Notamacropus eugenii: one gene and its partners. The protein of the gene in region 2 purifies or fractionates together with the protein of the main gene of each other region. This does not show direct contact. Links are inferred from orthologs where the notes say so. Each region holds a gene or a part of one and is shown on either strand. Other genes may lie near its edges.

Evidence for each region. The genes of interacting proteins can lie anywhere in the genome.
Region 1: the proteins of PPP4R2 (region 2) and DHX38 purify together in Homo sapiens (affinity purification with mass spectrometry; 3 studies listed by BioGRID and IntAct, counting the BioPlex papers as one, with this or other methods). This does not show direct contact. The link is inferred for Notamacropus eugenii from reciprocal best matches to the Homo sapiens genes PPP4R2 and DHX38.
Region 3: the proteins of PPP4R2 (region 2) and TIPRL purify together in Homo sapiens (affinity purification with mass spectrometry; 5 studies listed by BioGRID and IntAct, counting the BioPlex papers as one, with this or other methods). This does not show direct contact. The link is inferred for Notamacropus eugenii from reciprocal best matches to the Homo sapiens genes PPP4R2 and TIPRL.

What each region holds. Positions count from the first base shown.
Region 1 is NC_092872.1:711,877,460-711,885,432, reverse strand, and holds the start of DHX38 (pre-mRNA-splicing factor ATP-dependent RNA helicase PRP16), read left to right. Parts: upstream 1-4,956; 5' UTR 4,957-5,163; intron 5,164-6,584; 5' UTR 6,585-6,603; coding exon 6,604-6,932; intron 6,933-7,332; coding exon 7,333-7,520; intron 7,521-7,743; coding exon 7,744-7,848; intron 7,849-7,973. Other genes in the region: TXNL4B (thioredoxin-like protein 4B), read right to left, coding at 1,712-1,877, 2,968-3,119, 3,994-4,125. UniProt on the Homo sapiens protein: Probable ATP-binding RNA helicase. Involved in pre-mRNA splicing as component of the spliceosome.
Region 2 is NC_092874.1:450,208,376-450,215,731, reverse strand, and holds the start of PPP4R2 (serine/threonine-protein phosphatase 4 regulatory subunit 2), read left to right. Parts: upstream 1-4,337; 5' UTR 4,338-4,681; coding exon 4,682-4,715; intron 4,716-5,287; coding exon 5,288-5,369; intron 5,370-7,356. UniProt on the Homo sapiens protein: Regulatory subunit of serine/threonine-protein phosphatase 4 (PP4). May regulate the activity of PPP4C at centrosomal microtubule organizing centers.
Region 3 is NC_092873.1:478,322,554-478,330,548, forward strand, and holds the start of TIPRL (TIP41-like protein), read right to left. Parts: upstream 3,018-7,995; 5' UTR 2,753-3,017; coding exon 2,649-2,752; intron 1-2,648. UniProt on the Homo sapiens protein: May be a allosteric regulator of serine/threonine-protein phosphatase 2A (PP2A). Isoform 1 inhibits catalytic activity of the PP2A(D) core complex in vitro. The PP2A(C):TIPRL complex does not show phosphatase activity.

The DNA of each region.
Region 1 (7,973 bases), on a different chromosome or scaffold from region 2:
TCTCACTGAGTTTAGGTCACAGATAGCCCAATACCACCACTTGTCTAATCCTACTGCCCTTTTCAAATTACACTCACCGTTTTAAAGTATAATCTCCCACCATAAGACACTATTGTCTTCACAAGACCCATTATGTTTCCCTATTAGATCTCCTTCATATATATGTGTATGTATGTGTGCATATATATATATATATATATATATATATATATATATATATATATGTATATCTGTTATCTTCAAATATCAGTTGTATAATAACTTTTAAAAGCTTTGGAGTGATAAAACCAGCAGAAAGCAATTATTTTTATTTTATTGGCTATCATTCATTCAGTATTCAGAAGGAATGTAATTTTATAGAGAGTTACTATTTACTTTATTTAGAAAGGGGCATAATGGAAGTATCCTTGGATCAAGGAAGACCTGAACTTGAATCTTGACTGTATACACACTGGCTGTGTTGCCCTGGGTGAGTCGCTTAAATTTTTGGTCCTCCAGGGAACATTTAAAGAGAATGAGTTGCAGAGAAAGTGCTACCTGCATTGGGAGAGGGAATTTCCTCATCTTGGAGTTAACATTTGGTAAGGAAATCACAGGTCCAGTCCTTATTCCCCTCTATGAAGGCACTCAATTAAGAACTATTTGTGGAAATTAGGACTCCAAAGAAGCACTCCCAAAAATTCTCAAGAAGAGATGTGACTAATGATCCTTATATAAATGGGGGTATGGTGTTTCTTGAGGAAGGAGGGTATATCACTGAGGGTCTGAAAGAATGAGAGATTCCAGAAGTCCAGAAGCCAGTAAGAGGCATTCCTTAAGGCTATTACTAATCCAATGCAGTTTCTCCTTCTTTTGAGCCTTGGGTTACTATGGGAGAACCATTATATGAAAGGTTTAAGCATGGGCTTGAATCAGGTGAGGTACAGAATGGTGAGAATCTGAGCCTCCAGCTACCATAAGAACCACCACCTCATACAGACCAGTATAAATAATAATTGTTACTTTATGCTGTAAACAAGGGCACTGTTGCAGAAATTTACAAAGATTTCAAGCTATTAAAACACTACAAAGGTTCTAGAACAAGATTTGCCTTCAGCAATGAGACTCACCTTCCCTCTTTCTCCACCCCAAGCTAGAACAGAAGACAGGATGAAAGGGCAGCAACTGCATAGCTGTATAGGGGTCTAGTCTCATTAGGGACTTTTAAAAACAAGGGTCACGGAACTACAGGTGACCAGAAAACGAAAGTTCCTTTCTGTCTAGAGGAGAAAGCAACTTATCATTTTCATCCTTGATCTAATAAGCATAATTCAATCTGAAACTACATTCATTTGGGGGAAATGACAAATTGGGTCAGTAATATTCTCCTAATGCAAGAGAAAGGGCAAGTTGGTGGAAGAGGGGGTAGGGTTAAAATTAAGCCTGAATCTACGACTGATTCCATTTAGCACAATTTCCCAAATGTGTGTAGATCATAGAAAATTAGGGGTGCAAGGTATCCCCAAATATCAAGGAATTTCAATATGATCTCTTAATCAGAGGTCTGATACCACTTTAGAATTTGATATAAAAGTCCAAACCTCTTCTGCCCTCCTCCCCTCTCTGGTGTGTGATCTCTTCAGGAAAATGGGGTCATGCAACAACAGGATATTTGCACGTATGTGTTGCTTCAACTGCATTTCTCTCTTCAACTTCCGTTGGAGTAGCTGTTTTAAATGCCTTGGTAAAGAAGGTCATATTGAGGAATGTTCTTGGGATCGATTGGACTTTGGACGATGAGTTTTCCCCGCATTGCTCCTCGATAGATTACTTCAACCAAGTCTATGAAGTCCTGCTTAGTCTTGAAGCTTCCCACAAACTTAGTGTGGTCTGGAGACCTAAAGGAAAGGGTGTGAGAAGCAAGAACCCTGTTTGGAAGCACTTCAAACCAGTGGACTGAAAACCTTCTGAAAAATGAAAACGACAAACTACCATCAGGGAGATTTTGGACACAAGCTCAGTGTTGGCCTTGACTGCAAATACGGCTTGGAATAAAATTTGTTAGGGGGCTACTTAGAATAGCAGTTTTGCATTTGATTTAACTCCAAGTCTGATGTAAAAGGGAATGAAAAATTTTCCAATTACATTTCACTGTCCAAAGCATTTACTATACAAAGAGCATGAGTAAGCAGACAGGATCCCTAAAATGACTTGGAGTTATGCTTTTAAAATACGCAATAACAAGATAGACAAACAACTCAACTGCAGCAACAGTCAATTATATTGACTACAAAGATAATGAATTGGAAATAAATGAAAGAGTTTGCATTTTGTATAAGGAGCACTGCTATCAGTTATGTGTTAAGGAAGGATATTTAAATTATAAAATGAGGTGTACTATATTCTTTTGTAAACAGAAATTATTGGTCCTAGAAGTTTAGAAATATTTAAATATTTTAGGTTAAAGAATTCCTCAGTACAAACAAGAGTTACTTATTATCTGTCAGATTCAAAATTCTGATAGTATTTTACAAATTATTCTGTCACTCTATGCTGAAATGTAACCAACTTAATAGGAAGTAGACATTTACCCATGATATTCAGGAAAACTGCTGCTTCTCATAAAAGTGTTAAATTGTACCTTTAGATTTTTTAAGATGCTGTATCCTTCTCTCTTCCAAGGGAAGTGTATACATTATTTTTATAAATATATAAAGGGAAGGTATGTATATATTTTTTATAAATATATATCAGTACATTTTTCATTATTATTATATTATTTAACTGTGAAATGCTTAGCAAAAAGCTAAGGTTTTCAGGAAAAAATTTAAATTTTTCCTTGAAATGAGGAAACTTAGAGAGAGGATACTAATTGGGGAAACACCAGTTTCAAGATTTAATTATTGCAAGATTGACATGTGACAAAAATCATGTTTAAACAAAAGCAAATAAAAGAGTTTTGATAGTGCCAATGTCAATTTCACTTACCCATAATCCACTTTCATATGCTGCCCATTGAAGAAAAAGATAGTAGATGGAATATAACTGATGTCAAAATACTGGGTGTAAATTGGTGTTTGGTCCACATCTACCAGATATATCGCAGCCATTTTACTTAAATCATGATAAGTTTTAGAAAGCTGTGGAATTGAAATAAGATAGAGGTTATAATACAGGAGGAAGCTAATTGTTTTCTGTGATGTGTTTCCGAGTAGTGTGTTAAAAAAACACTGTAGCAAGGATAAATAAAATTTAGTTTTGATGTTAAGCTACATGTAACCTTTCTGTGGGAGAACCTGAAGCTGTTCACATACATTCCTTTTTTCTCAGGGGCAGCTGGTGGCAAAGTAGATGGTGGGCTGGGCCAGGAGTCAAGACAACCCGAGTTCAAATCTGGCCTTAGGCACTTATTAGCTGTGTGACCCTGGGTAAGTAACTTAATCACCGTTTGCCTTTGGTTCTTCAAGTATAAAATGGGTATAACAATAGTACTTTTCTCACAGGGCTGCTGTGAGGATCAAATGATTATCACAGTTGGTTCTTAATAAATGCTTATTCCATCCATCTGCTTTCTCTTCCTGTCTACAATTTACACGTTGATGGTGACAACCAGAAACACTTCCCTCATCCTCTCCTTCCCCTCTCAGGCATCTACTCGGAATGAAATGAGCCAACTGTGTCAATATATTTCCAGAGGTCCAGCAGTGTGGGCAGATATGGGGAGAACTGCACAGATGACAATCATGGCGCACGTTTTTCTGGCCACTACCTTCATGACAATCACTTCACATGTGGATAGTGGGGAATATGCACACACATGTATTACACTTACGTATTGGAATATGTATAATACACAACATGTATCATACATTACAAGTTATATGCTATACGTTACCATATTAATAAGATATTATGTAATACTACATACGTGTGTGTATGTACATGTGTGCATATATCTATCTATATACACATACACATGTATAACCCAGAGAATTCCGTGTAAAACACACTCACGATGTCATCTATCTGCAGACAGACAGGGTCCTCGTCTCTTCCAAATCTGAGCACCAAAACCTTCTCCGCAGTACTCTTTATGGCCTGGTCTACTTCTCTTTTGGAGGCAAGCTTGGGCAGCAGGAGGCTCATCCTGAACCGGGGCAAGCCTTAGTCGCGGCCAGCAGACCAGATCGAGCCGCAGGGTCCGCGCTGCGGGACAGAGGAGGACGTCCGGAGAAGGCGTGGTTCAAGCCCCTTAGTACAGACACACAGACACACGCACGCTCCCTCCGACCCTGGGTCACACGAACCGCTAACCCGGCGGGAACGCCTGCGGACACCCCACATTCAAATTCATACGGTCCCCAAAAGGCCCCGACCACCCGGCCTTGTCACCTCCCTTCACAAAGATCGAAATTTCCGTGGAAGCGCTCGTATAAATAAAAATAGCTCACATTGATGTCACTTAAAGGACTTTCCTGATCCTACAAGAGAAAAGAAATCATTAATGTAATAAAGGCCGCTCGGTGGAGCCACCCCCTGCCGCCAGGAAAGTCAACCTCAGCCCGGCGTCGACGCGGCACCGCCCCGAGCCGCCGTTGCTTAGCAACCCCCGAAAGACAAATTCTAAGGCGGAGGTCATGGGTGAGGAAGCGGAAGACTGCTTTTAACGCGCATGCGCACACAAGCAGCTTCCACCTCGAGTTTCTCGGGGTCGGTGCGCGCTGCGCGCTCAGGTTCCCGGCTGTCTCCGCTTCTCAACTGACGGAAGACACTACTCTTTTCCTCTCACGCACGCCCGACCGGAAATCACCGAGCTTGAATCGCTTCCGTCTGCATTTGCCAATCAGCGGTCCCCCAGTTCTGACGGTACCTCCCAGGGCTGCCTCGCGTCTGGATTCGGGTGCGTACGATTGGCTGTCAGGGAGAGTCGGAAGTCTCTGTGATTGGGGCGTAGCAAGAGGCCGCTCTAGCGCCAGCGTCCCGGTGGCGGGAAGCTTAGTTGTGGCTCAGCTCTATGGTTCTCGGACAGCTCTCGATGGTTCGTGCGGCTGGATAGAGCGGACGGCGCGGGGCTTTGTGGGACGCGAATGGCCGCTTGCGAGACTCCGTTCCACTAGGTTGTGAGCAGACGGATGTGGGGCAAGTAGAGGAGCGGCGGGGCCTCGGAGACCCCCGGGCGGCGTGGTGAGTGATCTCTTCCTCCTCCCCCCAGGATCGGCCCCGCACGGGGCTGCGGACCAGGGGTCGCGTTGGCCCGGGAAGTTGGGGACGCGTCCCGCAGAACCTCCTGCGCGTTTCCGACCCGCCTTTCTTTACCAAGGCAGCCGGCCTGGGAGGGAGAGAGGCCGGGGCCCGAGGCCAGCGGGGTGGCTGTGGGCCGGCAGGGTCACGGCCCTCCCCGCCCCTCCCCAGTTACCCTCGTTTGGACGCGTCTGCTTTGCGTTGAGCCCCCAGAGCTGATCGCAGTGCCAGGCCCTGAGTAGGTGCTTAATAAATGCTTGCCATTGGCTGAGAAAGCACTTAATTAATGCTTGTCGACGTGTTCTCGTGGCATAGTTCCCTTGCTCGAGACCCAGACCCCCACCCCTTATTATTGAATTTACCATTTCATGTATGTTTGAAAAAAATTCCAGTGCCTGGAAAGGACCCTAGAGGGCTTCTGGTCAAACTCATTTTACAGATGAGGAAACTGAGGCCCAGAAGCGTCATGAGGGTTGCTTGAGCTCACGTAGCAGGTTCAGATCCGGCCGTGATGTGAATGCCCGTCTGTGAAATGCCCTTCTGCAGAGCTGTGGGTGTTCACGGGAGCTGAGCCAGTAATTTAGGGGTGTCCCAGGGCCCAGGGTGCAGGGCAGAGCTGGTAACAGCCTGTCAGGCATTCCAAGCAAGCGTGCTCTGTGGAGAGGGTCAGGCAGAGTCAGTTGTGCCAGCTTTACTGGGACACCTTTCTTTGATTCTGAGCCTTTGTTTAAGTGAATTGTCAGGTCACCTGAGTTATCACAGACTGGTACATGCTGAGGGTCACTCTTGTTCTGTAGGTAGCCTCTTTTAGAACACGTATCTGATGAAACGTGGATGATACTGTGCGCTGCAGAAGGATTTGCTGCTGTTAATTTTTTGGATTTTGTGTTAGAAGGGCAGAGGAGGGGAAGAGGCATTCTTTTAGTGCCTGTGGGGAATAGGTCGTGTGTTTATTTTGTTTTAATAAAGCTTATGCTTAGTGAGTCCTCCCTCTCTTGGATAGAGGACAGTCCTTTCGGGGTCTTTTTGTATGTGTGGGTTGGGTCTAGGGATAGGGGTGGGGAACCTACCGGTCTCTAGGTCCTCGGGTGTGGCTTTTTGACTGAGTCCAAGTTTTACAGAACAAATCCTTTTTTTTTTCTGTGAAGTCTGGATTTGATCAAAGGGCCACTTGAGGACCTAGAGGGCTGCATGTGACCTAGAAGGCCACATGTGGTCTAGAGGGCATAAGTTCCCCACCCCTGGTCTAGGCCAAAAGTAATTGAGGAGTGTGTACTCACTACTGAAGCCATTCTAGGGAACTCTAAAGCTCATTTGTTTTCCCTCTTAATGGCTGACGGATGCCGGATGATTTGCCTTTTCAGAGAGTTCCCTAAGCCTGTGATGGAAGACGCCAGTGATGAGGGTGAGGCCTCAATTCATCGGCTAGAAGGCATTGACCAAGAGACACAAGTTGGTGGCCTCATTTGCAAGACCAAAAGTGCTGCTAGTGAGCAACATGTTTTCAAAGCCCCTGCACCTCGTCCCTCGTTGCTGGGGTTAGATCTGCTGGCTGCATTAAAACGGAGGGAACGAGAGGAAAAGGATGATGGGGAAGATAAAAAGAAGTCCAGGGTCTCTTCCTACAAGGACTGGGAGGAAAACAAGGATGAACAGAAGGATTCTGAGGAGGAAGGGGGTGACCAGGCGAGCCGAAGCAGCAGGAGAGACAGGTAAAATCACTTGGGTGGTAGAACGAAAAGGGGATGCACTGGTGGGGGGACACTGTAATAACTTGTCTTTATTCCTTAGTTTTTTTTTGGAAACGTCGTGTCCTCCATGAACACCAATTCTTAAATTATTGTAATGATCACAGAAAATTTGGCATTCTCATCATGCCAGTTGGGGAAAGGGAGACTTTTAAGAATAATTACTAACTAAAGATCAGGTGGAAATGTGGATAGTTAAAGTGAGACTAGAACCCAAATCTCTTCTGACTTGGTCAGTGCTACCTACAAGACTATTCTTCTGGGAAGGTAGCAGGACAAAGGGTGAAATACTTGTTTGGAGCAACCAAGAGCTTTTAGGGACAGAAGTCTCTTAGTGGCAGTTTCCTCTCTCCTCTTGGTTCAGACATTATCGAGCTGCCCGAGTAGAGACACCATCGCATCCTGGTGGTGTGAGTGAAGAGTTCTGGGAGCGCAGCAGACAGAGAGAACGGGAAAGACGGGAACATGGCGTCTACGCCTCCTCCAAAGAAGATAAGGACCGGAAAAAGGAGAGAGCTCGGGATCGAGATTATGACCGGAAGAGAGAGAGAGGTAAAGGCTTTGGCTTCTTCCTGGGAGCAGTGGGGAGGTCTGTCTTCCCTCAGGGGGAGGCTGTGGGCAAACCAATGCTGTGCTTCTACATCAGTGATTACCAACCATCTATTAAGTGCTTCTGTGTGCCAGTCACTATGCTAGTCACTAGGGCTTCAAATAGAATAAAACAATCTCCACTCCCAAGGACTTTACATTCTAACATGTGCCCCACTTTTGGAAGATGAACGGGACAGGAGTCGGCACAGCAGCCGATTGGACCGAGATGGAGGCTCAGAACGGAGCAGCAGGAGGAGTGAACCAGAAAGCCCAAGACATCGACCAAGAGGTAAGCTGGATGGTTAGCATGTTGACATAAGAGCAATCTTCGGGTTTCAACTTTCTAGTCACCTAGAGTATTCTGGCTCCAGATTTCTGGGGCAATAGAGTTTAGGTCTAAGGTGCTTTTTAAAT
Region 2 (7,356 bases):
CCCTGCTATGTCTTCTCCATGTGACTTTGGGCAAATTATTTCACCTCTCTGAGACTCAGTTTCTTTATCTGCAAAAAAAGGAGTGGCGGGAGATTATGGATTAGATTATCTCAGGGGTCTCTTCCAGTTCTAAATGCTATTCTCTAACAACGTTCCCCATTTTAAGTGCTCCCTGGTTGGGTGGGTGTGGGTAATAATGGAAATTGGTCCCCTATTTGTACAAGATATTGCTTACTATATATATGCAAGTTAGGCTGGGAAATCTTCAAGGTAGTCATTGGTAATGAGAAATACTTTGTGGAGAGTTAATGAAAAATCAAAGATTAGACTTATCAGTTTGGGTAAAAATTTCAGTGTAGGCATTATGTTAGCACTTCTCAATTGTCCTGTACTTCTCTCCTGCCATTCCTCCATCATTCTTCTTTTCAAATTACCTCTTATTTATTTTGCTTATGTCTTGTTTATAGTGTTGTTTCCCCAGAAAGAATATAAGCAACTTGTGGGAAGGGATCCTTTTATTTTTGTCTTTACATTCCTGATACCTAGTTGAGTCCCTGGCACATAGTTTTGTTTGTTTGCGTTTGTCCTTTGTTGCCAAAAAAGACCATGCCATCAGATAAATGATGACATGACTTGCACTTGCCTTTGTTTTGAGTGAGGGAGGGCTGTGCAGGTCACCAGCCTCACTTCTCCTCCAGAGCCATCTGAATCCAGTGACCAGATATTCATCGGGATGACTGAAGATGGCCCAGGATGCACTGGGAGACCTTGGGCCCTTTAGGACAAGGTCTTTGTAGGTGCTCACTTAGGATGAGGCAATGCCCATTTATGGAATAGACCTGTTTAAGAAGTAGCCAGGGCATGGACCCTTTAATGAGGCCAAGAAAAGACATCAGGCTGGGAGGGAAACAGCAATAGTTACTATTGATAATCACTATAAAGCTAGGAGGGTCCAGTGGAGCCCTTAGGCAGGGGCCCACTGGTGTCCCAGCTTCAGAGTGTAACAGGTTTAAGGTTTTGGGAGAGGACAGAAGAGGGGAAGGGAGAGGAAGGGGAGGGGGGAGAGGAGGGGAGGGGAGGGAAGGAGCCAGTAAAACCCAAGTCAACTTGGGCATCTTTTGGCCACCCAAATTTACCTTCCTTTGGAGAGGAGAAGGAAGGGGAGGGGGAGGCAGACAGGAGAGGAGGAGTTAAGTTATCCAACTAGCTGAGTCCTCATTCAGCCGGTTGCAGTTACACAAGATGAATGTAAGGGAGTATATGTATGTCTAACTCTAGGATACATATGATTGGTCAGAAAGTAGTAAATGTCATTATGACCCAGTACACAGCTAGTTCAGTCACTACACAGCTGGTTCAAACTAATAAATTCTGTAAGTGCAACTGGCTGCTGTAGCAGGAAGGGAGGTAACAGTTTTTGCTGAGGTAGGTTGTTCTTGGGCTAGGAAGAAACTGACTGGGATAGTGTTTTGAGACTAGGGAGAAATGTGATTTTTGAGAAAAATGTGATTTTAGAATTGGGGTTCAAGCACAGGCATCCAGACATTATCATAGGCACTGGGTTAATTTAGCACACTCTTTTGTAAAGAATGCATTAACAGATAACTACTAAGCTAGGATGCAATTTTCATAGCAATTAATATAAACTTACAGTTAAAAATAATTCTGATTTGCCTGGGATCAAATATAGCATTTTTTTTTGTCTTTACCACCACAAAAAATCTAATTAAGTGCCTACTATGTGCCAGATACTGTGCTAAGTGCTGGGGATACCAAAGAAATAAAAAACAAACAGTTCTTGCTTTCAAGGAGCTCACAGTCTAATGGAAGAGAAAAACATGCAAACAACTCTATATACAAACTAGATATATACAGAACAAAGTGGAGATTATCCACAAAGGGAAGGCACTAGTGTTGAGAAGAATCAGGAAATGCTTGTAAAATGATTGATGGTAAGAATTATAGCATTGAAGAGACTCTTCTATGGTTTGGTTTGTGTGTTCTCTATGCCTATTGGACTGAGTGGGATTTTAGATAAATCTTTACCTTTCTAAGGAATATTAGTGTAGTATAGACACAAGAGACCAACTATATGCCTCCGATTTTTGCCTACGTGAGAAGGAAGTCTGTTGCCCCAGAAAATTTCCTTCAGGAAAGCACGAAGTGCATTGACTGTCATCTGAGGTCTAGGGCAGATGCACATTCTTAGTCTCTGCCATGTGGCGATGTCAGCATAAGGGACTGAGCTATACCATGCTTCCCCACCAACAGCCATGTTGATGAGGTTATGAGTCTGAACCCACACCAAAATGAATCTTTGGAAGAAGACTTCAGTGGAGGGAGATCTCTGTGATCCTGAATTCAAATCCAGTCTGAAATACACACTAGGTGTGTCACCTTAGGGAAGTTACTTAACCTCTGTCTGCCTTGGTTTCTTCATCTGTAAAATGGGGATAATAATAGCACCTACCTCTTAGGGCTGTTGAGAGGATCAAATGAGATAATATTTGTACAAAGTGTGCCTGGCACATAGCCAGTGCTATATAAATGTTAGCTATTATTGTATTATTTTTATTTCTGTTAAATATTTCATCTAATTAAACCATTATAAAGCCCTCCTGTGGAAGAGCTCTGTCTTGGCCATCTTTATTATCCCCCTCAGTGCCTAGCCCAGTGGTTTGGAAGGGTCTCCCTCAAATCTAATTCACTTGCAAGTCAAGACATCAAGACATCTGATGTCACAAGAACAAAGGATCAGCAACTGTAACAAAAAGGTGTCTATCCTTTGTCATCCTGGGTCCTGAAGATCCGCTCAGGAAATAATGGAGGCGCTGGGTAAAGAGGAGGCACTCAATAAATGTTATAGTGTTATAGCGTCTCTAGAATTCTTCCACAGTATTGTCCTTCACACACATCAAGTTCCAGCCAGATTGGTTTGCTTGTTGTTGTTCCCAATGAAGTCTCCAAGTTATAAAATATCTATTGATATGGGCTCAGAGGATACACTTTTTAAAATCAGTGTTATCAGTCTTCACAAATGACCCTAGGAGGTAGGGGCTTTACAGTGGAGGAAACTGAGGCAAGGGGCGTTAAGTGACTTGTCCAAGCAAGCTTCCTATCCTCTCTAAGCCAAATGGGAATACTCCTACCGCTTCCCTCCACTGTGTGGAGAATCCTAGCAGACAGACTGAGTAAGGTGCTTGCAGATCTGGATACACTAAATGAGTTATTATTAGTTCTGGCTCCTCGCGGGACGTCCTCAGTTTCAGGAAACCAGTTCTAGCATCAGGTTTGCATCCGAGGTGCGGTCCGTAGGTCAGACGAGGGAGCTGGACCAGATTGCTGCAGCCCCAGCTCCTAGAAGTGTGGACGGCGGGAGGCAGGAGGATGGAGCCAGCAGCCGGAGGTCCCACTAGGGAGATTTGAACGTGGGTGCCCTTCCTGGAGGCTCCACCTCTGAGACTGTGATAGCGCACAAGGGCACTTAGTGTTTACGGAAAGAAGGAAGGAGGGAAGGAGGGAAAGAAGGAAGGAAGGAAGGAAGGAAGGAAGGAAGGAAGGAAGGAAGGAGGGAAGGAGGGAAGGAAGAAGGAAGGAAGGAAGGAGGGAAGGAGGGAAGGAGGGAAGGAAGAAAGGAAGGAAGGAGGGAAGGAGGGAAGGAAGGAAGGAAGGAAGGAGGGAAGGAGGGAAGGAAGGAAGGAAGGAAGGAGGGAAGGAGGGAAGGAAGGAAGGAAGGAGGGAAGGAGGGAAGGAAGAAGGAAGGAACGAAGAAGGAAGGAAGGAAGGAAGGAAGGAAGGAAGGAAGGAGGGAAGGAAGGAAGGGTGGGGCTAGTCCAAAATCCCGACATTGGATGGATGGGGAAATTGTGGCAAGGAACGTAACCACATGGTTAGGCAGCAATCCCCGATCAGCATTTATTAAGCACCTACTATGTGCCTGGCACTGTACTGCAGGCCAAAGACAGCGCTGGCCCTCGAGGGGCTCACACTCGATTGGATCAGAGGTGGGATCTGAACCCAGGATTTCTGCCCCCAGACCCGGTGCTCTTCCTCCCGCGGTTCCCCTCCTGGGCCTCAGTTTCCCCAGGTGTCCAACCCAATCGCGGGCGGGGGCGGGAATCCAGGCTACACGTGCCCAGCAGCTGCCGGCGCTCGCAGCCTGGCTCTGGGCCGGGGGGGCGGGGCCTTGGCGCGGAGGCCCCGCCTCCCAGGTGTGCTTCCGGCCGGCCCGGGGCCCTGGCCCCGCCCAGAGCCTGTGGGGGCGCGCCGGGGCGCGGGGCCGCGCTGGGCGGCGGCGGGGACGAGGACGGCGGCCCGGGGAGCGTGCGCGCGGTGACGTGCCGGGCGCCATGTTGGGGAGCTGATTGTGGGCGCTCGGGAGGTGCTCCGTCGCTCGCTCGCTCCTCTCGCTGCCGGTGCCACCGTCGCCTCCGTGTGTGTGCGTGTGTGCGCGTGGGGGTGTGCGGTGTGTGTGTTCGAGAGGGCGAGTGTGCGGGCGTGTGTGTGCGTGAGAGAGAGGGGGCCGGGACGGCGCGAGTGTGCGCGCGTGTGCCTGCGTGTGTGCGGCCTGCGTGGGGGCGCGCGTGTGAGGGCGGCGGGGGGGCGGCGGCGTTCCGGGCCCGGGGACTCGGGACTCCGCGGAAGGAGGCGGCGGCGGCGGCGGCCGGGGACGCGGGCCACCATGGACATGGAGAGACTGCAGGAGGCGCTCAAAGGTGGGGGCCGGGGGAGGGGGCTCCGGGCGCCGACCCCCCCTCCCGCCGGGCCCCGGGGGCAGCCCCGCCCCGCCGGGAGCTTTGTGCCGGGAGCCGTCGGGGCTGGGGGGGCGCCGCACCTCTCCCTCCCCTCCCCCCCGAAACCCGGGCTGGGGGGAGGAGGAAGAAAGAAAAAAAAAGGGAAACCGGAGCCGTCCCCGCCCCCCACTTGTTGGCCTCCTCGCGGACGGACGGACGGGCGGCCGGGAAGTTTTCGGACGGCCCGGCCCGGCCCGGGGTGCCCTGGGGCCGGGGGTTCGCGCGTTCCAAGCCGCAGGCTGGGGGTTCGGGTTGCCAGGGAGAGGCTCCCCGGGCTGGGGAGGGGGCGGCCCCCGGGTCCGTCCTGGGGTGCTGTTTGCCCCTGGCTTTCCTGCTTCCCTTGAATGACAGGGGGACGGACTCGGGGAAAGTTTCCGATTGGAAGGAGCCTGGGGTGGGGGGACGACGGGGGCGGCCCCGGGCTTGCGGGGGTCGCGGAGACCGGGGGTCGCGGCCTTGTAACCGGTCCTTTTCTGTCTCCATCCCCTGCCCAGACTTTGAGAAGAGGGGGAAGAAGGAAGTGTGTCCGGTGCTGGATCAGTTTCTTTGTCACGTCGCCAAGACCGGGGAGACGATGTGAGTTCAAGAACTTTATTTTAGGGGCTAGAGGAGGGCTCGTGGTCCGAGGCTGTGCTGGAGTTAGTGCGAGAGTTCAACACCGGCCAGACCTGGACAGCTAGGCTCCCAAGTCCGCTGGCGTGGAGCGGCCCGTCCTGGGAAGCCTGGCCGAGCTGTCATCCCTGCGAAGCGTCTTTGTAACGTTCCTCATTCTTTCCTTTAGGAGCCGGGCTCTTGTTCGCTGCCTCGTGTCCCGTTTGTTTGGGGTTAGCCTGGGAGACCCTGGCCCCAGGAGTCTGGGGAAGAGTTGGTTAGACTCGTACTTTGTGGTCCTGAGCCTGAGACTTCACTCCTCAGTGCCCGGGGCACTTTCCTTTGAATTGGCCGGGGTGTCTTGGTGGGGCTTCCAGAGGTTCTACTTGAGGAATTCCTTGTACTGATGATTCAATCCGAGGTCCTGAAACAAGTGTGCATCAGTGAAAAGGAAGAAATGCCCTCGCGTTCTTTTGGTCGTAATGGGAAGAAACCATTTCTTTTCATTTTGTAATTAAATTGTCTTTTGTAGGTAACATTTTCTTCAAACTGGTGTCTGATCTGGTGTAATGTTGTTAAGTGTGAAGCCCCGTATCTGTTGGTTTTTATTTTTCTTGGGTTAGGGAAAGAGGCAGATATTTTATTAGTGACATTTGCTCCTGTTTTCATGTGTCCTAGAAACTTTTTAGGATAACTGACTTGTTACACTCAGCATTTTATTGGACACTTGACCTGAAAGTCACCTTCATTTTAAGAGTTGGAGGATGTTTTTATCCATATCATGTGTAGATGTTGGTGTGTGTCACAAGGATTTGTTTTTGTGCTCTACCTAGGTTAATCTCTGGAAAGCTGAGCTGCATTGATGACTTCCTTGTTGTCTCAGTTTTTGGCAGGAAGGGGAAAGGTTTCTTTGGGTGCCATGCTAGGGAATAAGCTCTCTTTCTGGCTCCTTACTCAACTCTTGATTTGAGGCCTAGTACAAGATTATAAGCTTCAGCAAGTGATAGGTTCTTATTTTTATCAAGTATTGAATTCATACAGGATTTGTTCGTACTTGTATACTGTATCATTAACAAGTTTAATCTCAAAGAGAAAAACAGAACTTTAATGCTTAAACTAATGAACCTGTTCTAAAAGGTTTTTAACCTTTCCAGAATTCTGCTAAAAATGTACCAGTGAGTTGAAAGGTGACTGTCCATTTAGAAAAAATGCAGCTTGAGAAAGATATTTGCCTTAAATGCTATAATGTTGGGCTGTGTATGTACTGTAATTTTGAGAAATGATGAAAAGTAAATATACAGTAGGTACGTTATTTTACTATTTAGTTGAAGACAAGCCTAAAAATTATTAAAGTTTTGTTTGCTTAAGTACATTGATTTCTAGAATATCACTTATACAGGCTCACATTTTTAATCCTTATAGTTTGACTGATCAGTTAAGCCAAACATCTTTATCTCAGCAGGACATTTCAAAGGAAAGCAGTGGCATTGTTCATGGTCCCAAAACTTCTGAAGCTTTCCAATAGATAATTACTACTAATACCATCTGTGAGTAAATATATAAGGAGACCAATAAACCTGTCTGAATGATAAGATGGTGTTATACCTAGTTTTAGGATTTTTTAATTTATAAATATGGTAAAGAAGCCAATAGGCAGTTCTTTGAAAATTTCTTTTACTGACTCACTATTTGAATATGTCTATTTATTTGGAAATTATTTTTTATCCCTATTAGGGAATTTAAATGAATTTAGTTACCACAGTAAATATTTGTGAAATATCAACATCTGGAGTTAAAACAATCAGTATTTAAAGCTATTCATTCTGAGATTGTGGAACATTTTGTTTTCTTACCACACAACCAAGACATGTTTATGCTTTTTGCTTAGCATTTAATTTTTTCCCAGAATGGGTATGGATTAACTTTTAGTAGTGAAAGAGAAACTAAAATATTTGTATACCTCTTTTCCTCC
Region 3 (7,995 bases), on a different chromosome or scaffold from region 2:
CTGCTTCCTTCAATTCTCAGCTAAAGCCCCACCTTCTGCAAAAGTCTCTCTTAGCCCTTCATGTGAGACCCAATTTATTCTGTATATATCTTAATTGAAAATAGCTGTTTGCGTGTTGTCCACCTGATTACAGTGTGAGTTCTTTGGGAGCAGGAACTGTTTTTGTTTTGTTTTGTAGACCTTTTGTTATATCCCCAGAGCTTAGCACAGTGCCTGGCATACAATGTTAGCTCAGTAACTATTATGGCAAGTATCAATAGCATCAACTCACATAAACAAAAGCTACTGGAGGAAGGTCCTCAATAATCTTTAATAAGAGTATAAAAGGGTTTGAGAACCACTTTAGAGAATAAGCTCTATGATAACTATTTTGGATTCTCAGAGGATGTCTCTAAAAAGAGTCCTATGTTGCATTCGTGATGGCTGAAGTCACTGAACTGCTACTGTACCCAAGGATATATTCCTATATAAAAACTGTCCAAGAGTCCCTGACTATTACAATTGAGAGAAATGAATATTTCTCTCTCATATTAATAACCAATCTATTTCATCATTCCCTGTAGGTCATTCAATCAGTTTTAAAGGGCAGGACTGATAAAGAGATGAAGTCTTGAACAGACACATCCACTGGGAAAACTCAGATCTGATCAAAAGGTGAAGAGATTCTAATCCAGTAAAATCTGGCCCACAGTGTTTTAGTCAGTCAAGTCTGATTGCCCTAGGTGGAGGTAGTCCAGATAAGAGATCTGTCCAAGATTGAGTGACATCCGCCAGCCCCTCGTTCCAATTAACTGACTCTTATTATAGTATTAATTCATTAAACCAATCAAGAGTTGGTTTCCAGCCTTAGCAGCACCTAACTCTTCTTCTAGGGGCATGTAAGCATTGAGTGGGTTCTATGAGAGGTCTTTGGCAACTAAGAGTGCAACTGACCCTTTTATATGTCCCTTAGACTTTTTATATGTCACAAAATTCAAAATTGTCCTTCTTACAATTTCTCTAAATCTTATCCCAAACATATCTAATCAATACCAAACTATAACCTGTCAAAAGCTGCCTCAGTATTTAGGAGGGCAAGGAAACGCAATTCAATTACCATTTAATAAAGCCTCTATTATATTACAAGACACTGTGATGGGTGCTAGAAATAAAAAAAAAAAACAACACCCTACTCCATGTGCAGGGGAATCTGTTGTGTATTTCAATACTTCAATAAATCTGTAATTCCATGGATATGGTATGAACCTTCATGGTATGAACCAAAATGCACTCAGGCTTTTCATCCTATGCAATTCTTATCCATTGTCTTCAACAGATCCTCCAGAGAAGAGCCCTATTATATGATACAGATCTTTTTACATCTTCAACATATCACCAGAAGATGTGAGTTATCTGTTATCCCTTACGTTCCCACCTACCATCATTTCCTCAATTGATATCCACTTGAGCCAAGCAGGCAGAAGTCAAGACGGGAGAAAAATGAAATATTCTAAGGGAAAATGTGAGGAAGAAAGTCCACTTCACTTTCAGAATACGCTGAGATTTGTTTTAAGAAACCAGTTGGAGGGCTGGCTACTTATAATTACCTAGAAATAAGGGTACCACCTCCCATTTCATGTCTGGTGAGATGTATTCTCAACATTGCCAATTGTACAAGTATGCAGAAATCACTGCCTAGGAATAAAATTTGTGTTGGTTGTTCTGGGGCATTTTTGGAAGGGGGAGCAGGTTAATTTTGTTAGTACATGGAACTCCCAGTGTGAAAACTTACTCCAACAACTCAACTCCTAGTTTACATTCCCAACAGTAACACTGACAGACTGAATGATTAGCGTCAAAAGCAGCATGTGGATAATGACAACGTAAGAGATGCTCTCTACGAAAAATGTCTGTTTTGAGTTGGTATTTTTTTATGCATCCTTTTGTTCTGGGTCAGAGCCTGCGCTTTCTTTCACTGTGGAGAACTCTCCCTACCAATGTACACAGACAACTCCTCATTTATAGTCTAAAACAGTAGCCTGAAACCACCAGCCTAGAAATACTACCCAAGAATAAAGTTTGGTTTTGGTTAGTGTTTGTGGTGGTGTTTGGGGCTCCTGGGGGAGGGAGCTTCCAGAGAAAACTCCTTCTCCCCAATGCAAATGAGCACCTCCTAATCTACAGTCCTAAATAACTGGCCCCATGTAGCAAGGCTACTCAGGCTCAGGGGCTGGACAAGAATCCGGGTTTTCTGTGGATTGGGGATGCAGAGCTGGAAGATGCCGAGCTTTGCCGTCTGGCCTCTGGTCTACAGTCCAGACGACATGTGACCCAAGCCCCTGCACTTACAGAGGTCCGGCGCTCCTTCCCGGACCCACGCGGACTTAGCCCGCCCCAGACTCCAGGGCCAGGGGGCAGCGGGAGGGGGCGGGGGCAGGAGCGCGGCCCAGAGTCCGTCAAACCGCGGCCGCGCACGCGCACTCGGAGCGTCCAGGGCAGGGCCCCGCCGGCAGTTCTGCAGCCGCCCGAGGGAGGCCTCGAGGTCCCGCGGGGGCGGGGAGCGGCCCCGAGAGCGACCGCCCCTCCCCAGTGCTGCTCATGCCCGCGCCCGCGCCCGCGCCCGGCCGCCCGGCCTCGACCTCTCCTCCCCCGCCCTCCCCAAACCTCACTTCTCCACATCGGCCGACTTCATGATGTGCGTCTTGGCCGCCGTCAGCTTCCACGGCCCGAAGGAGAAGTCCCGGCGACTGCTCTGGAAGCCGTGGATCATCATGGCCACGGTGGTGGCGCGGAACCAGCGCGAGCCGCGGCGGCCTCCCTTCTCCCCCGCCCCCACCTCCCCCTCCTCCCCCGAGCCGTTACCATCCCCGGCCCCGCCCCGCCCCGCTCCGCTCCCCGGCCCGGCCCAGCCCAGCCCACTGCCTGGGCCCCTTGCTCCTCCCGCCTTCCTGCCGGCCCGCCTGCCCCCGCCTTCTCCTTCCGCTTCCGGGAGCAGGTTGCCTGCGCGACGAGGCTGCGACGCGCCGGAAGTCCTAGGAAAAGGAAGGAGGGGCGGGGCTGGGGGAGTCGAGAGGCGTGGCCTGGACCCGGGGAGCGGGCGCGGACTTGGTGGCATCATGGGATGATGTCATCGCCAGCCTTTCCGCAGGCGGGGGGCGGGGCTCAAGAAGTAGCCTGAGGTGCTGGGTTTTCATTGGTGCAATTTCCCTACCCATCACTTTCCTTTTTTTGTTTGTTTGTTTGTTTCCTATAAAATGTGATCTACGGAAGCTTCCCCTTAACTTCCCAGAGGAACGTTCCGAGGTCCGTTTGTTCTCCAGGCCCAGGATGGAAATCAGGCTCCGTCCCTTTGTCAGGGTCCAGAGGGGTAGAAGCCCCCAAGGACTGCCCCTCTACAGCCTGGCATCTCCCTGGATGCCCGGAGGGAAGGAGCGAAGGCCAGGCGAGGCTGAAGCTGACTTCGTCTTTTTGGAAGATGCCCACGGCTCTGATTATGCGGACAATCCAGAGAGGTTCCTCTTAAGCACGTGGTTAACCTAATGAAACAAAGTAACAAAACTTTCACACGCGATTACGTCATCCTGATTCTCCCATAAGTAAGCCTGTAGCATCCTCCATAGGGAGAGGTGGCCTCGAGCCTTCCCCCTAGGAATACTGCCGTGGAGGGTCGGTGGGGCGAAGGGTGTTGCTTAGACACAAAAACACATGGATTTTATCCAGTTTACTAAGTTCCTGGGGGATTTAGAATTTTCTTATGCCCAGAAGTCACAAGACCAGAATGCAGAGGAACTCTAGGAGGAAATACCAAAGAGGGTCTGTGGGCAGAGCCGGTCCACCCCTCCTCTTCCACTGAAACGTCAGGGAATGGCCAGGAAAGAGCATTGCCCATCATAAAAAGCAGGGTAAAGAAGTGAAGTTGACACCTCATGGGGTGGCTGAGGGTGGACCAAAGTTGGAAAAGATGGTTGGTTCAACAAACTTGGGTGAATTGGACAGACCACTGGAACCTAGTCCGAAGCACTTTTCTCTTTACCCCTCTGAAGCATTGCCTGGGAGGAGTCCCAGGCTATCAGTCCAACTACTTATCCTCCCATTTCCCCTTGTACAGTTAGGAGGGAGAGTATAGGTAAAGGGGAAAAGATTCAGTTCTCCCATTGCAATATTATAGCCTATTAATCGAAGGAATGTTTATTTGAATCATATGCTAGTTGGAACTGCTTTTAAAGTGGATAGTCATTTACATTGATTTTTAGTCCAAGTCATTAAGTGCATACTTTGGAATTGAAGGAGGGGAGCCAACTCAAAAGAGAGAGATTTTCCTCAGCTCAGAGTGAGATGGGAAGCAAACCAATTATTTAAAAAAAAAAAAACTGTAATAATAGTCATCTTTGAGATATCCACAACCTACTTTTCTTGGGAACCCAGAAAGACAATTAACAGATAAATGAGCCAGTAGCAATGAGAGGTAGAGGTTGTGGTACAGATAATTAGGCTGCACAAGTACGCAGCAAATCTATGTGGCTACAGAACCATGGAATATTGGAATACTCAAAGGTAGTTTAGATATCTGGCCCAAATTCCCATGCAAACACATGCATTCCTTTTAACACTATTCCTGAAAGATGACCTAGTCACCCAAACTCTTTTTTTAGCTCCTTCAGTAATAATGAACTCCTTATCCATTAACAGAGCTGTGAGGCATGTTGCTTGCAAAAGAATAAGACAGTAACTGATAAACCCGGGAAGGCATTTTATTTTGTCCTTTCAAGAGCAGGTAATCTAAACATAGGCACACTTGTTTAAGGCAAATATACAATATTTATACCTCACCCCAATTCCCATTTCTCTCCCTTGCTCCCATTGGTTGGCAGTAGCTGGGTTCCCAGTCTATCCCATGATACTTAAAACTCCACCTCTGATTACACTTCACATTTCAACCCCCCATCACCACATTCTCATTTCCTTTATATTTTGGCAAGTCATAAATTCTTTCAAAGGAATGGCCTTAATTGATGTACAGTCTTTCTGGCTGACTTGAAAATTTGGTTAAAGAGGCAAACAGGCTAGGTGATATCTTAATTGAATAGGTGGTAAACACAATAAGATAAAAGAGTTGACAAAGTGTCCATTGAAATTACAACCCAGGATATCTGCATTTTCTTTACCATTGACATGCTATATAACATAGTATGGGTCCATAAGATACTAAGAAAAAGTCCCGTTATCCAAGATAGCATCTCAGGTTAAGGGTCTCATCGTTAATGGTCATAAACAGAAAAAATGGCTGTTCTTAAGTCAGCCCCATCTGGCCTTGTTGACATAGGAAGAAGTATTCTCTGAGTTTACTCAGAGAACAAAGAAGCTGTTAGGTCCAGGTTCTTCTTCTGGTTGATTAGTCCAGGCTCCGACCCTTATTGAGAATTCAAAATGATATTAAATGATTATCACTGGTGTTACAGATATTACATAAGTTCAGTTCATCTCTTACAGAGCCTATTATATTGTTAGACAGGTTTAACTGTTAGACTGTTCATTCTTATGTTGCACCACAATCTGCCTTAAAATTCCATAAGCAACACAGACTAAATCTCTTTTCTCATATTACAAATATTCAAATGTTTGAAGACAAAAATCATGCCCCTCCCAAACTGTCTTTTATCTAAGCTAAAAAAATTGTAAAAGCTCCTTAAGCTTTCAATGTTGAACGTTACTGCTCTTATATCTACTCATATATTCTTTTCCTCGTCCTCATTCTATCTGGTAGGATAGCTCCAAGTGAATGAGAGTTAGGTGAGGTTCATTTGTTTTATATCATACATAATGTAGTGGTAAGCCCAGATAAGGAATCCCCGACTAATTAGGCAGTGTTTACTGACTAGGGTGTGTGGGGATTGATGGTGGGGTTTCACAGAATCAAAGGTCATTCATTATAGCCTAGAACTGGAAGGTACAGGATTTGAACATACTTGTACCCAGCAATACAAACTTCCTCCAAAGATCGAGGCTCTGTTCACTATAATTGCAATCCAACCAAGAATGCCTAAGGCATTGAACTTGGAGTAATTTATATTTCTATAAAATATAGAATTCTTGATTGGATTGTGGAAATGTCTTGTGGGTTTAAAAACATGAAGCATGTAAAATTGAAATTTGGTGAAAATTTAGGAGTTGCCTACCATATGGTAAGCTCTTAATGAGGTCTATCTGAGTGGGGGAGCAAGGGGTGGAAAAGATAAAGTGGGGGCAGAAGAGAGGGAATCTCCTGAATTATGGCTAATATGTAATACAGGGCAGGTGGATGAGTGGCTAGGTTATGAGCTGGGTAAGCCTGGAGTTGTTACATTTTCAGAAGAAATCATATCACTCAAGAAGAGGATAATGACTTATGTCCAACAATACCTCAGAACCTTTTGGCATGCTTAGCAGCTCTAGTGAAAAAATTAAAAACATATGAATTTATGGGATGATGGGGACAGAGGTCATACAAGGTAGGCAGGCATGGATAAGTTATGATCTTTATGGGAAGGATACCCACATGGATGTATTGGCTTGATTTTATTCAGTTGTTTTCAATCATGTTAAACTCTTGATGATCTCATTTTGGGTTTTCTTGGCAAAGATACTGGAGTGGTTTGCTATTTCCTTCTCCAGGTCATTTTACAGAAGAAGAAACTGAGGCAAACAGGGTTAAGTGATTTGCAAAGTCACACAACTAGTAAGTGTCTGAGGCCAGATTTGAACTCAGGAAGATGAGTCTGCCACTCTGTCCTGGCAAAGGCCTTCTTCTAGTCAAAGAACTGGATCTACTTATTTGAGGAGGTCCCACATTCTTCTTGAATCAGTTTCCCGCCTGAAGAATCTCTCCATTGAAGATTGGTCATTGACACCAATTCCCACTTGCAAGCTGGCCACAATACATCAAAAGAAAGTTTGTTTATTGTTGTTGTTGTTTTTAAAAGGAGGGGAAATCACAAATATGTTCTGTAACAGGTATATTACAGTAACCCAATGTTCCACTTCACCAGTCCAAGGAGGCACCGCCCTCTAGTGTTCTCTGCACCAAACTTCTCCAGGCTGATGTCATTGAGACTCTAGAGTACCTCCTGTTTCTCTGGGTAGCCTAGGCAATACTAGGCAAAGGACAAGAATTTTTTATTTTTTGAGCTCATACTTGCAAGCAATGAGATCATAAATACAGGGTTAAAAGGACTTTGGAAGTCGGCTAATCCAATCTCCTAATTTTTCAGACGAAGAAACTGAGACACAGGGAGGTCGAGTGACATGACCTATGACCATATAACTCAAAAGTTTCCAGTGCAAGAGTTAAAACCAGGTCTTCTTGACTCCAGATCAAGGACCCTATCCATGGTTCCATGTTGCGTGTCAATGGTAATTTCCCATTGAGGCTAATCCTAGCTTCCCTGCTTCTGTTAATAGCATCATCATTTCCCTAGTCCCTAAGGCTTGATTATACTTCCGCAAAATCTCTGACATCTCATCCTTCTTTTCCCTTTTTAATACCAGCACCCTAGTGTAGGGTCTTGTTGCCTGTCATTGGAACTTTTGTAACAACCACCACATTTGTTGATTGTCACATTCTCTCTCCCTTTCAATTCATCCTTCATAACACTCACAAAGCAATCTTTCTAATGCTCAGGCCTGATTACATCACTGTCCTCTTCAAAAATCTTCAGGAGTTGCCTATTAAATATTACCTATTGAATAATAAGAAAGATTCTTTACCTACTATTCAAGACCTTCCACAGTCTGGCCCTCATCTATCTTTCCAGTTCTAATCTCAAAGCATGCCCCTTCAGGCATTCTATCCTCCAATCACTCACAGTTCTTTATCCCATACATCTTGCCAATATTCTATGACTTTACTCAAATGCCATCTTCCATGCTTGGAAGAAACTCCCTCCCAGATCAACCAGTGGACATCCTTTGCTTCTTTCTCTAGTTCATTCCTGATCCTCTCCATGATCCCCATCATTCTAGAATCATTTAAGCTTTTTG